Stegostoma tigrinum: one gene and its partner. The protein of the gene in region 1 purifies or fractionates together with the protein of each later gene. This does not show direct contact. Links are inferred from orthologs where the notes say so. Each region holds a gene or a part of one and is shown on either strand. Other genes may lie near its edges.

Evidence for each region. Proteins that work in one complex are often made in the same cells at the same time.
Region 2: the proteins of map2k2a (region 1) and kinase suppressor of Ras 1-like purify together in Homo sapiens (affinity purification with mass spectrometry; 4 studies listed by BioGRID and IntAct, with this or other methods). This does not show direct contact. The link is inferred for Stegostoma tigrinum from reciprocal best matches to the Homo sapiens genes MAP2K2 and KSR1.

What each region holds. Positions count from the first base shown.
Region 1 is NC_081383.1:37,564,902-37,572,196, forward strand, and holds the start of map2k2a (dual specificity mitogen-activated protein kinase kinase 2a), read right to left. Parts: upstream 3,095-7,295; 5' UTR 2,854-3,094; coding exon 2,762-2,853; intron 1-2,761. UniProt on the Homo sapiens protein: Catalyzes the concomitant phosphorylation of a threonine and a tyrosine residue in a Thr-Glu-Tyr sequence located in MAP kinases. Activates the ERK1 and ERK2 MAP kinases.
Region 2 is NC_081380.1:37,782,850-37,790,491, forward strand, and holds the start of kinase suppressor of Ras 1-like, read right to left. Parts: upstream 3,059-7,642; 5' UTR 2,777-3,058; coding exon 2,528-2,776; intron 1,523-2,527; exon of another isoform or gene 1,226-1,522; intron 1-1,225.

The sequences.
Region 1 (7,295 bases):
AATGGGGTGCAGTAGGGAGGCGAAGGCATGGTTTTAAAATTCACAGATAGCACTAGATAGATTAGATTAGATTCCCTACAGTGTGGAAACAGGCCATTTGGCCCAACAAGTCCAAATCGCCCCTTGAAGCATCCCACCCAGACCCATTCACCTATAAGCCACACACCCCTGAACACTATGGGCAATTTAGCATGGCCAATCCACCTAGCCTGCACATCTTTGGACTGTGGGAGGAAACTGAAGCACCCGGAGGAAACCCACACTGATACGGGGAGAATGCGCAAATTCCACACAGACAGTCGCCTGAGGCTGGAATTGAACCTGGGTCCCTGGAGCTGTGAGGCTGCAGTGCTAACCACTGAGCTACCATGCCGCCCACAGTGATAGGTGATGAGAAAGTATGTTGTGATGATGATTTAAAGAGTTTGCAGAAGGATACAGTTTTGCTAAGTTTTGGTCAAAAATCTGGTAGATGGAATATAACATGGAAAAATGTAAGGTTGGTCACTACGGCAGGAAGAATGAAAGAGCAGAGTATAATAAAACAGGGACAACTGCAGAATTCCAAGCTGTAGAGGAATTAGGTGTGTTTGTGGCTCAAGTAACAAATAGTCAGAATGCAAACATAGTGCATCATCAAGGCGGCTAGTGGAATGCTAATCTTTGAATTGAACGTAAAACCACTATGATCATGGCTGATCATCCAACTCAAATCTCATTCCTGCTTTTCCCTCGTATCTCTTAGCCCCAAGTGCTATATTCAATTGCTTCTTGAAATCAAACCATGTTTTGCCTTGAATGGTTTTTGTGTTAGCAAATTCCACAGGTTCACTACTCATTTGAGTGTACAGAGGATTACTCCTAAAATTGCTCTACAGTTCAACTACATCCAAAGATCTCAAGTAAAATTAGAAACTAGAGGCTGCATTATAAAAAAATTACAGAAAACGTTAACAAGCAGACCATCGGTAACAAAACTTGATGGCAAGATACAACACCAGCAGATCAGATTATCAGTATAATAAAATTTGAGAAGAGTGCAAAATAAACATCTAAGATGAAGAGATTACTATCAGGAAGTAAATGCAAGATACTCTGGAAGATTCTGGGGAAAAGCACTGCTAAATTGTCACTGGGTGTACTTAGAAAGACTTAACATACTTTTGGATGAAACTGAAACATGTTGTTCCAATCTTGTGCCTTAGTCCAGATATTAAAGTATGTGCAGAAGTTGAAACAAATTTTATTCATGAAATTGTGTATGCAATTAACTGTCACCAACTAAGCAAAAAAAACTGCAAAGGATGCACCAAATTAGAACATTGATTGACCATATTTTGCTATTGCAGTTTCCCAATTTTAAAGTTTTATTACTTGGTCATGTGAAGAGACCGCAAGTGAAGAGATACAATGAGGAGCAATTTAACTGGAGAAGTGTGAATGTTGCAACAAGTATTTCTTCAAAGTTTTGAAAGTCTGATTAAAAAAACACTTGGGAAATGTCTCAGAGGATGACAAGAATTAGCAAAAAATATAAAAGGACAATTTCAACATATTCATATGCAGCAGAGACCTAACAAGTATAAACAAAAATTCCTTTGCTGTAAGAAAACTCCAAAAAGTAAACCAGATCAACTTCAATGATTTTTGAAAAGTGATTTTAATCAGTCTGTTCAAATGTTATCACAAACCTCCAGAGTTGAGCTTGAACCCCAACCTTCTGGCCCAAAGCCATCGGCATTCAGTGTTTCAAAGACCTCAGCTTCCCAGGGGATTTTTTTACTTACACACATCTCAGGTGGTCAATTCAAAATCCAGCAATGACCAGTGGAAGTGACTGCTCAGTTGCTTGGATAGAAAGACACAGATATACACAATACACTGAATAGGACTCAAACCTAGAATCTTCTATCGAGAAGTAAATGTGCTGCTGTCACTGTCCCAAACTAAAATGGAAACAAATATAACTAGAAATGCTTTCTTCCTGAATGAACTAAATGATCAGCTGCTAACCAAAGCTGCAACTTTTCATGTCAGACTCCATACGGCCGTCGGCGGACTATTCAGTCACTGGGGCATCACGCCTCACTCAGCCTCTGCACATCTAAATAGGAGTTAATGCAAACAGTTGACAACTGGCAACTTAGTTCTTTTTGCTTTCCTCACACTGGCGCATAAAAGATTCTTGCAGCACCTTTTTAGCGATATTTTCAGATCAGCCTATTAAACACAGGTCAAGGCTCGAATGTAGGATTTTCCAGGCCGCTGCAGCTCAATATACAGACATAAAGAGCGAAAAACTATTTCAGTTAATCCAACCTGCAGAATAATATTTCCAGATCTATTTTATCAATATTGTAACGCAGTGTTTTTCAGGCAACTATACCATTAAGTTTCTTGGTATTCAGTGCCGTTACAGTGTTTAGAACGAAAATACGCAGACGTTATATTGTTATTTTTTCCCCGGTTGAGATGACATCCTTGCCCTTATTCCGAAAACCCCACCAATCAATTTAAACCCATTATCGCTTGGAGGGGGGGAAATGCCCAATCTCGCGCCAAACGATTTTAAACCAGGTTATCTGTGATACCCCGAGGCAGATTAGGGAATTGGGAGCGGACAGGAGAAACAAAGAATTACTTAAAAACAAAATGCATTCCGGAGAACGAATTTTATTGGAGGCAAGGCCTTGGGAAATCCCTAAAAGAGGCTGCAAGAGGCAGCTTGACACAACCAGGCCCAGGCCGGGCCGTTACTCACTCGGCGTTATCCTCCCTGGTTGGGGACGGTCCTTCACCGACAGTGGTTGTGATGGTGAGAGTGGGCAGCACCGCTTTCCGTTTAGCGAACATCTTTAATCCGCCCCAAACTCTCTGCCACCAACACGGCGGCCAAGGGCTCCTCGCCTGGCGGAATGGCTGTCTTCCCTTGAAACCCCCCCTCTCCTTCTCTCCTCGTCAAGGCTTTCCCCTTTTTCACATTTGAATTTGACTGACGGCACCAGCGACCCTTCCGCGACTCCAACAGAAGGTCACAAACGCCCACAACTACTTCCGGGGTGAAGAGTAAAGCGGCGGCCGCGAGTTCCTCAGGGAGGTCAGGGGCGGGGCCTGGTTGCTAAGGAATGTTAAGGGCGGGGCCTGGTTGCTAAGGGAGGTCACGGGCGGGGCCTGGTTGCTAAGGGAGGTCAGGGGCGAGGCCTGGATCCTAAGGGAGAACAGTTCTGAGGAAGGGTCACCGGACTGAAATGTTAACTCTGATTATTTTTCTTAAGAGATGCTGCCGGACCCGTTGAGCTTTTCCAGTGGCTTGTGCCTTTGTTCGAGATTGGGTTGGGGCCTAGTTGCTAAGGGAGATCAAGGGCAGGGTTTGGTTGCCAGAAGTGTTTAATTGTTACTGCCCAGGCGGCAATTTGACCCGTATTCGTGCGCTAGCTCATTACATGAACATCATTATCTAGTGCCAAACCCCTGCGTTCCCTCCATCCATGTGGATTGTTTCTATCTAAACGAGGCACTCAATTGCTTCTTAAATTGCCCATCTTGAACTTGCCCTCACCACACTTCAGGGCAGTGTTCCACACCCCAACTACTTGTAGGATGAAAATATTTTACCTCACCTCACCCTTACTTCTTGGCTGTCTCCCTGTCTACTCTATCCAGCCTGCCCTTGAGTTTGAAAATATTTACCGGACCTCCTCTTAGACCTCCCTCCAAGGGGAACAGAACCATCTTTTTCAATCTATCCTCATAACTCATGTTCTTCAAACCTGGAACTTGTAAACTGCTTCTACACAGTCTCCAATGCAGTCACATCTTTCTTACATGGCACCCAGAACAGGGTAGGCCTAATAAGCTGAAGATACTGTATTCGTTACTTATTGCTCTCTCCCTACCTGACCTGTCATCTTCAATGATCTGTCTACACGTATGCCGAGGTTGCTCTACTCCTTCACTCCCCCCCCCCCCCCCCCCCGTCCATGAGAATGGTACTGCCAAGACATTACAAGGGTTGGGGGTGGGGGAGTGGAAGAATGGGAGACTGGGACTAGATAATGATGCTTATTGTTAAGGACAAACCTGGTTGCTAAGGAAGACGGAGCAGGTTTGACTCCATCTCCTTGGCATTCTCCCTCTGAGAGGAATTTCACAAGCACTTGGCTGGCAGCTGTGAGTGGTGAGCAAGAGATCACTATCTGCCATTCCCTGTCTTACAGTGTGGGCTTGTATGTCAGAATGAATGCAGAATACTGTTGCAGACAATAAGATACTCTGTGGTGCGATGTTGGTCCTATAACTGGACCCTATTTGCTCTATGAACTGGGAGATCTCAGCAATGTGACCATCTCCATGGCTTTTATCTCCTCACCACCAGAAGATGAACTTGGGAGGTCAGCAAAAGGCTGTCTGGTAACAAACAGTGCCATGGTTTAGAAAAGGCAGTTATAATCAGGTCAGTGAAATCTCACCAAATCTCACAGTATTTAATCATTTACTGTATTGAACTGCATTTAATTCTGGTCTCCCTGCTATATGAAAGATGCTGTTAAACCTGAAAGATTTTGGAAAAAGATTTACAAGGATGTTGCCCGGGTTGGTGGGTTTGAGCTAAAGGGAATGGCTGAATAGGCTGGGGCTATTTTCCCTGGCATGTTAGAGGCAGAGGGTTGACCTTATGGGGGAGTGGATAGTGTGAACAGCCAAGGTCTTTTTCCCAGGGTAGGGAAATCTAAAACTAGAAGCCACATGTTTAAGGCACGAGGGGAAAGATTTAAATGGGATCTGAGGAGAAGTTTTCACACAGAGTGTAGTGTGTGTATGGAATAAGTTGCCAGAGGGAATGGTGGAGGTGGGTACAGTTATGACATTTAAAAGCCATCTTTGGGCGTATGAATAGAAAGGGTTTAGAGGGATATAGGCCAAATGCTGGCAAAAAGAACTAGGTTAATTTAGGATCAGAGATAATGGGAACTGCAGATGCTGGAGAATCCAAGATAACAAAATGTGGGGCTGGATGAACACAGCAGGCCAAGCAGCATCTTAGGAGCACAAAAGCTAATGTTTCGGGCCTAAACCCTTCATCAGAAAGGGCCTAGGCCCGAAACGTCAGCTTTTGTGCTCCTAAGATGCTGCTTGGCCTCCTGTGTTCATCCAGCCCCACACTTTGTTATCTTAGATTAATTTAGGATATTTGGTTGGCATGGATGACTTGGACTGAAGGATCTGTTTCCCTGCTGTATAACTCTCTGACTCTTCTTTTTATTAATCTGTTGGATGTGGGCGTTGCTGGCCGGCCAGCATTTCTTATCCATCTCTAGTCGTCCTTGAGAAGGTTGTGGTGAGCTGCCTTTTTGAACTGCTGCAGTCCTCCTGCAATGGGTTGAGCCACAATGGTGTTAAGGAGGGAATTCCAGGAATTTGACCCAGCGACAGTGAAGGAACGGCGATATATTTCCAAGTGAGGATGGTGAGTGACTTGGAGAGGAACTTGGAAGTGATGGTGCTTCCATATTTCTGCTACCCTTGTCCTTCTAGAAGTAGTCATGAGTTTGGAAGGTGCAATCTGAGGATCTTTGGTGAATTTCTGCGGTGCATCTTGTAGATAGTAAGCAGCAGTGCGTACTGAGTGTCGGTGGTGGAGGGAGTGAATGCTTGTGGATGTAGCGCCAGTCAAGTGGACTGCTTTGTCCTAGATTGTGTCTAGCTTCTTGAGTGTTGTTGGAGCTGCATTCATCCAGGCAAGTGGGGAGTATTCCATCACACTCCTGACTTCTGCCTTGTAGATGGTGGACAGGCTTTGAGGAGTCAGGAGGTGAGTTACTCGCTGCAGTATTCCCAATTTTTGGCCTGCTTTTATAGCCACTGTGTTAATGTGGTGAGTCCAGTTGAGTTTCTGGTCAGTGGTAACCCCCAGGATGTTGATCATGGGAGATTCAGTGATGGTAACACCATTGAATGTCGAGAGGAGGTGGTTAGATTGTCTCTTATTGGTGATGGCCATAGCCTGGCATTTGTGTGGCATGAATGTCACTTGCCACTTGTCAATCCAAGTCTGGATCTTGTCCAGACCCTGTTGCATGTGAACATGGACTGCTTTAGTACCTGCAGAGTCACAAATGGTCCTGAACATTTGCAATCGTTGGTGAACATCCACAATTCTGACTTTATGATGGAGGGAAGGTCATTGATGAAGCAGCTGAAGGTGGTTGGGCCTAGGACATTACCCTGAGGAACTCCTGCAGAGATGTTCTGGAGTTGAGATAATTGACCTCCCCCAACCACAGCCATCTTCCTACGTGTCAGATATGACTCCAACCACCGGAGCATTTGCCCCCAGATACCCATTGATTCCAGTTTTGCTAGGGCTCCTTGATGCCACACTTTGTCAAATGGAGCTGTGATATCAAGGAGTGTCACTCTCACCTCACATCTGGAATTCAGCTCTTTTGTCCATGTTTGAACCAAGGTCGTAACGAGATCAGGAGCTGAGTGGCCCTGGCGGAACCTGAACTGGGCTTTGCTGAGCAGGTTATTTCTGAGCAGGTGCTGCTTGATAGCACCGTTGATGACACCTTCCATCACTTTACTGACGATTGAGAGGAGACTGATGGGGCGGTAACTGGCCAGGTTGGATTTGTCCTGCTTTTTGTGTACAGGACATACTTGGGCAATTTTCCATATTGTCAGGTAGATATTAACTACACAGAAACAGATCATTTAGCTCAACCGGTACACAGCAGTGGTTGTGCCCCACAAAAGTCTCCAACGCTTCAGCTAACACCAGCATCACTTGCTTCTTTCTTCCTTTATCTAGCTTCCATGTAGATGTAAGTCACCTCAGCTACCTCATGTGATACCTAAGCATTCCCTAGCGGAAATTGTTCCTCATAACTTACCTATTGAACTTATGAATGAACATCATATATTTGTGACTTGTACTTATTGTCTCTCCTGCAAATGGAAACATTTTCTCAGCATCCACCTGAACACTGTGGTAATCAATCTAATGACTGCTCAGACCTTTTGGTTTACAGACATGTATTCATGGCGATCCATGGTGATATGGGCCAGAGTAAACAGTAGCTACCAGTGTGATCTGCTACCCTATGCTTTTGCTGTTCCCCAACCCTGTGCTTTCCCTTGAGCAGCACAGCGGCTCAGTGGTTAGCACTGCTGCCTTACAATGCCAGGACCAGGATTTGATTCAACCCTTGGGCAACTGTCTGTGTGGAGTTTGCACATTCTCCCTGTGTTTGTGTGGGTTTCGTCCCACAGATGTGCAGGCTAGCTGGTTT
Region 2 (7,642 bases), on another chromosome or scaffold:
CGTCCTCTGCTTTGTGACATGCTGAAATCTGGGTTTGTTTAAAGTACACCCGCTACAATTCCTTCCAAAATATGTGAAATCTGTTATACAAGGCTTGCACAAATGATCAAATATGCATATTGAAAAACAAAGAAAATCTGAGGATTGGTTATGAGAATATACAAAACTCAAGGAGCCCATCCAATTACATTCTCTGCTCAATACAGCATTTAGTAGGCAAATTCCATACAATGCAGGCCAAACTTATACTAAAAAGTTAGATAAATGTAATACAGTAGGCAAGGCATCACAATCCTTCTCAACTAAACACAGGCAATGTAATCTAATGCCTTGGCCGGCCGCCCCCCACCCAACGTTGCAACCATTCCCAGCACGTCACCGACATTCCTCTATCACCGAGGCATGACCAGAAGTACTTTCGTGAAGAACTAGATCAAATATATTTATATTTTTAAAAAACCATTTGGAACTGAATTACTACATTTCAACTGCTTTTCGGATCACGTCAATGGCAAAGGAGAGTCTTTTCGAGGTTGTGGCATATACTTATCACGTTGTAACTAGAACGAGGGGGAGTTGTTCTGCTCTATTTTTAGAAACAGCCGCAACACACAACTGTGGAGACTAGTTATTACTTCATTCCCCAATAATGCAGAAAGGGTTTTCATACTGCTGCCACCCAGTACCCACAAAACAAAGCATGTCCGCCAGAGAACATCTATTATCCAGAGAAATGGCTAACACTGGTGTGAGATCTTGGTCAGTAGTCAACTGGAAAACACGTTAGATTACAACATCAAAAAAATCCTTGAACACCCTAAAGAAAATTCCCGAGAACCTCGGAACATGGCCCGTCTTTCTTCCTTGCTGCCACCCCGCCAAAAAAACCTGATCTTCATTGAAAATACAACTGCTTACAACTGGCACCCGAGTGCTGCAGTGTTGCGACGGTACATTTCGGGAGAAGTAGGTTATGCTGATCTCATCCTTGCACTGTAGTCAGCGTCTGATCAACATGGGCCTAGGGGCCGGCACCCAATCTTCGAAAACATAAAATTTAACAGCCTTCCGAACGCCTGGCAGAAAATTCACCATTATATTCCTAGCATGTCTGCTGAAACTTAGAGTCCTGCCGCCTTTTTTTTGTTAAAAAAAAAGACCCAAAGGCACACTACTATTTGGACAGGTTTAAACATTTCCAAAGCGAGTTATAACAGCGGCTTACCGGGAACACTCATCAAAACCAAACTGCTGACACGATTGTTACAAGGCGACACATTGACATATATAGATCCACACAGTTAGACAGACAATCTCGGTGGAGTATCTGTGAATCCTCACGACCCAGGCACAAGTAAAGTCAGTTGTGCAGTGAAAGCTGCTAAAAGATCTCTCTGCTCACCTACATGTGTTGTTTTGGGGATTAAGGGTTAACGTCAGCTGTTGGTCTCAGTTGAAAACATCCAACCAAGACTGTGAATAACACAATTAAACGGCTAACCGTGAGTAAACTCCAAATTAACACACGTAACATTTTAAAATTAAGACCTCCTGCCACCAGACAAGTTTTGTGTAGTTTTCCACGCACAGAAAGCATCACGACAATACAAAATTATACACGACTTGGTTAACCGCTCACAATCAAAAATAATTGCTGCAATTTGCCAAACGGGAAAAAAATTCAAAGTCCGGATATAAAGGGCGAGGATTTTAATTCAACAACCTTGGGACAATTTTTATCTTAACGGATATTATTGCAACGCATTTGATTTCATTCTCAATAGCAGCAACTGGTCGAGGTCAGATAAAAATGATAACAAGGTGTGGAACTGGAGGAACACAGCAGCCATGCAGCTTCAGAGGAGCAGGAAACGTCTGGACCCGAAACGTCAGCTTTCCCGCACCTCTGATGCTGCTTGGCCTGTTGTGTTCCTCCAGCTCCACACCTTTTTATCTCAGACTCCAGCATCGGCAATTCTTACTATCTCGGAGGTCAGATAAAAGACCGGTATGGAAGGTCTGGAGGGATATGGGTCAAATGCTGGCAAACGGGGTTAGGTCCGTTTGGAAGCTCTGTTCGGTATAAACGAGTTGGACCGAAAGGTCTGTTTCCGTGCTGTACAACTCTATGACTCTACACACCTAATCAACAATGCAGACAGTGTGCTCCAGTCATGGTTGTACACAGTTCTGTGCTCTAGGACTCTGCATAATACATGCAGGTGCAAAATATCTGGATTACGACTAATAAGTAAATCCTTCATAAGCACCCATTTTCTGAATTCATTAGAAAAACAGACGGTACTGCTTTAAATCTAAAAGTCTGAGTCTCAGAAGCTTCATCTTTCCCCCATCTGCAGCCCCTGCACGGGGGTGGAGGGTGTCTGACAGTTTTCCACCCTCTGTTCTCACTTGCCCCAGTTTGCATGTGCATCAGACTTCTCCTCGTTTGTTTATATTTCTTTCCAAAGGCGGGATGTTCGTCCCCACCCCACCAAAAAAAAGAGCACAAGGGATGCAGTTTTACCTCCAGCATCCGAATCTCCTGTTGTGTCAAGTCGTTGGAAGCGGAACATTTGGTCCTGAGCCCCTCCAGGCTGGAGATGCTGATGTCGATCATGTCCTGGTTCAGGTCGCACTGCTGTAGGGCCTTCTCCAAACTCAGCTCCCCTTCGTCCTCCTCCTCGTCCTCCTCCTCTTCCTCACTCCCCTCTTCCTCAGCAACCGTAGCTTTCTTTATCTTATTGCTGTGACCCTTGCTGTTCTCTTCAGCCATTCCTAAACATTCGGCCTGGTTATATTTGTCTTCCCCCCTTTCCCCCCTTCCCGAACCCTAATTTCAGTACAACCGCCACCACACAAAAAAAAGTTTTCCTCACACAGAAAACATGAAAACTGCAGAAAATATAGATCTATTGAAATGATTAAGCTGAACTAAACACGTGCAAAAGTAAAAATGCAGCTGTCAAGTTAGTAAGTGTCCCTCTCCTGTGTGACAGCAGCCCATCTGAAGCTCCAGACGCCGCTTAATACTATGGATCAGCTTCGTTTATTTTCTTCTCCTCTTCCCCTTCGGCGGTGTGGGGGGAGGGGGCCGTGAGCGGTTGCTATGGGACTACGCGCTCTGCCTTCTGGGATTTGTTGTCAATTTCCACGGCAGAGCCCACAAGACAGGGAGGAAACCGACTACAATTCCCGGGGTGCAGCACCTCTCGCTCTGCCTTCTGGGATTTGTAGTCACGCCCCGAGGCTGAAGAAATCCAACTACAATTCCCGCCAGGCGCCATGCCTCCCTCATCCTCCCCACAAACCCCATAACAGACTCTCCTTAAAGCTCAATAAACGGCATAAACATGCTGCATACAGCTTTTCTAATCCAAGTTAACTGATCGCGACTCGTTCCCGTACTCGCAGATTTCCTTGCTATCACTGGTGTCCCCTTGCTTTCCTGAATCCCAAGACTTGTTGATCTAGTTGGACACCCTTTTCAAAAATGTTCTTGACATTCATAGTGTGGCAATTGCTAAACAATGCTGCGGTACCCGTAAATAATCACAAGTCTAACAGAAGTTCTCCCTGTATTTGAAAAGTAAACCACAAACCTTCACGAACAAGATTTTCGTCTGTCAGACATATGATCACAAGTCTCCACAGCACCTGTCAACCACTCAAAATCTCAAAGTGAAATATCCTGCAAGAATAAAACATAATAGATTACTTATTACTTATGCTGCAACACCTGAATAATTTCAGTGGCCAATTCCAATTATTATACGAGCATAGCGCTGACCTTAGATGTTCAAAATGTTAACAATTCAATTATGATGCATGACTTTCAGGATTGTGATATTCCTGGAAATATATCAGGCTCTTTATTGACATATCAATTCACAACACAAAAGTGCCAAATTGGCAAGTCAACCAGTCCATGTTAATGTTCATTTTCCATGTGAACAATCGTTCTATTTCCATGTTTTATATTCTTTTTCCTTCAATCTGCTATCTAACCTGGTTTTAAATGTTGACAAGGGTCTGAATTTCCCTATCCCAAATCAGGACAGAACAAAGGCAAGATGATAAAAAGATGGTGTTGGCAGCCTCCGTGTTTATCTACCAACTCCACTACCCAATTCTGGTGCCTTTCCTGAGGACAGTGGCTGGGGACATTGGGAAAGAGAGAAGGTGATGGAAAGGAAAATGAATAAAGAACAAAGAACAGTACAGCACAAGAACAAGCCCTTCACCCACCAAGACTGCACCAACACTTAATGCCTTTCTAAATTAAAAACCTTTTGCCTCAATGCAGTCCACATTCCTCTATTCCTTGCCTATTCATATATGTGGCAAGATGCTTCTTAAATGTTGCTATTGTATCTGCCTCCACCACCTCCTCTGGCAGAGCATTCCAGGCACTTATCACCCTCTGTGTAAAAAAACATGCTTCCCACATCTTCTTTAAATTTTACCTTCTTTTACCTTAAGTCAAGACCTGTGGTAATTGACATTTCTAGTCTGGGAAAAAAAAATCCGACTACACATTCTATCTATGCCTCTTGGAATTTTGTAAGCTTCCATCAGGTCACCCCACATCCTTTGATGTTCAAGTAAAATCAAACCAAGTTTGTCCAATCTCTCCTCATAGCTAATACCCTCCAAATAATGCAACATCCTGGTAAACTGTCTCTGTTGCCCCTCCAAGCCTTCACATCTTCCATATCGTGTGGCAATAAGAATAGTGTGAAAATTCCAAAGATGGCCTAAACAAGTTCTATACAGCTGCAACAATTTTCATACTCTATGCCCTGACTGATGAAGGAAAGCATGCCATACACCTTCTTACCATGTTGCCCGCTTGTTTTGCCACTTTCAGGGAACTGTGAACCCGTATAGCTAGATCCCACTGTATGTTGATGCTACTAAGGGCTCTGCCGTTTACTGTATACCTCCATCCTGCTTTAGATCTTCCAAAACGTATCACCTTCCATTCCTCAAGATTAAACTTGACCTGCCATTTCTGCACCCACGTCTCCTGCCTATCTATATCCTGATATGATCTCTGGCAATCCTCCTCACTATCCAATGCTCCCCCAATCTTTGTGTCACCCATAAACTTACTAATCAAGCCACCTACATTCTTCTACAAATCATTTACATATGTTACAAACAACAGGGGTCCCAGCACTGATCCTTGCAGAACATCACTAGTCACAGATCTCCAGTCAGAAGCCTTCCACACTACTCTCTGTCTTCTAAGGCTAAGCCAGTTCTGTATTAATCTTACCAACTCACTAGGATCCCATAAAACTTCACCTCTTCTACCTGTCTGCTATTAGAGAGCTCGTCAAAGAGCTTGCTAAGTCCACATGGACAACATGAATCATCCTGCCCTCACCAATCATTGAATAAGGCCAATTTTTTTCAAATCTGAGTAAATGCTTCTTAAATATAAGAACAAAGTTGGCTATTCTCCAGTCCTCTGGGACCTCTCCTGTGACTAAAGAGGATACAAAGATTTCAAGACCTCAGCAATTTCCTCATTTGTCTCCCTCAGCATCCTTAGGTAGATCCCTTCCGGTTCTGGGGACTTGTCTACCTTAACGCTTTTTGAAAGACCCAACACCTCTTGCTTATTTATATAAACTTGTCCTAGTTTATCAACATATCTCTCCAAAGACTCACCACTCACCATATCCTTGTACTTTGTGAATACATTGCAAAATATTCTTGAAGGAACTCACCCTCTTCCTCTGGCTCCTTGCTTAAATTCTCTCCTTTGTCCTTGAGTGGACCTTCCCTTTCCCTAGCTAACCTCCTAACTTTTATATATGTACTTCAAAAACCACAACATCCCCCCCGCAGTGATCGAGAACGCCCTCGACTTTGTCTCCCGCATTTCCCGCAACTCATCCCTCACACCCCATCCCCACAATAACCGCCAAAGGAGAATCTCCCTCATCCTCACATACCACCCCACCAACCTCTGGATACAACGCATCATCCTCCGACACTTCCACCATCTACAATCCAACCCCACCACCAAAAACATTTTTCCATCCCCACCCTTGTCTGCTTTCCGGAGGGATCACTCTCTCCAAGACTCCCTTGTCTGCTCCACACTCCCCTCCAACCCCAACACACCTGTCATTTTCCCCTGCAACCACAGGAAGTGCTACACCTGCCCCCACACCACCTCCCTCACCCCCATCCCAGGCCCCAAGAAGACTTTCCACATCAAGCAGATGTTCAACTGCACATCTGCCAATGTGGGTCACTGCATCCGCGGTACCCGTTGTGGCTACATCTACATTGGGGAAACCAAGCGGAGGCTTGGGGTCCACTTTGCAGAACACCTACGCTAGGTTTGCAATAAACAACTGCACCTCCCAGTCGTGAACCATTTCAATTCCCCCTCCCATTCCTTGGATGACATATCCATCCTGGGCCTCCTGCACTGCCACAACGATGCCACCTGTAGGTTGCAGGAACAGCAGCTCATATTCCTCTTGGGAACCCTGCAACCCAATGGTATCAATGTGGATTTCACAAGCTTCAAAATCTCCCCTTCCCCCACTGCATCCCAAAACCAGCCCAGCTCATCGCTGCCTCCCTAACCTGTTCTTCCTCTCACCTATTCCCTCCTCCCACCTCAAGCTGCACCTCTATTTCCTTCATTCTCTCCTCATCCCGCCCCCTTGACCTGTCTGTCCTCCCCAGATTGACCTATCCCCTCCCTACCTCCCCACCCACACTCACCTTTACTGGCTCTATCCCTGCCCCTTTGGCTTGTCTGTCTCCTCTCCACCTATCTTCTCCTCTAACCATCTTCGATCCGCCTCCCCCTCTCTGTCTATTTATTTCAGAACCCTCTCCCCATCCCCCTTTTCTGATGAAGGGTCTAGGTCCGAAACATCAGCTTTTGTGCTCCTAAGATGCTAATTGGCCGGCTGTGTTCATCCAGCTCCACACTTTGTTATCTTGGATTCTCCAGCATCTGCAGTTCCCATTATCTCTTTGATTTTCCTTAATCATGTTTGCCAAAGTCATATCATGGCCCCTTTTAGCCGTCCTTATTTAAGCTATTTCCTGCTGTCTTTGTATTTTTGGAGAGGTCTGTCTGCCTTCAGTTTCCGAAACATTACATATGTCTCCTTTGTCACTAAGCTCTCAATTTCTCTTGTCATCCAAGGTTCCCAAATCTTGCAATTCGCTTTCACAGGAACATGCTGTTCCTGACCTCTAATCAATTGGCCTTTAAAAGATTCCCAAATGCCAGATGTTTTTTACCCTCAAACAGTTGCCCCCAGTCTACATTTCCCAGTTCCTCCCTAATGTCGTGGTAGGTAGCTATCCCCCAGCTTAGTATATTCACCAAAGAATACCCTTGTCCTTATCCTTAAATAACTTAAAATTAACAGAATTATGGTTACTGTTCCCAAAATGCCCCACCTCCACCCCATTGAAACTTTAATAACCTGCCTAGGCTTATTCCCCAATACCTAGTCCAGTATGGCCCCTCCCCAGTTGGACTTTTACATATAGTTTCAAAAAAGTATCTTGGACACACCTAACAAATTCTCCCCCATCCAAGCTCCTGCTTTTCAGCAAGACCCAGTCAGTATAGGAGAACTTAAAATCATCCAAC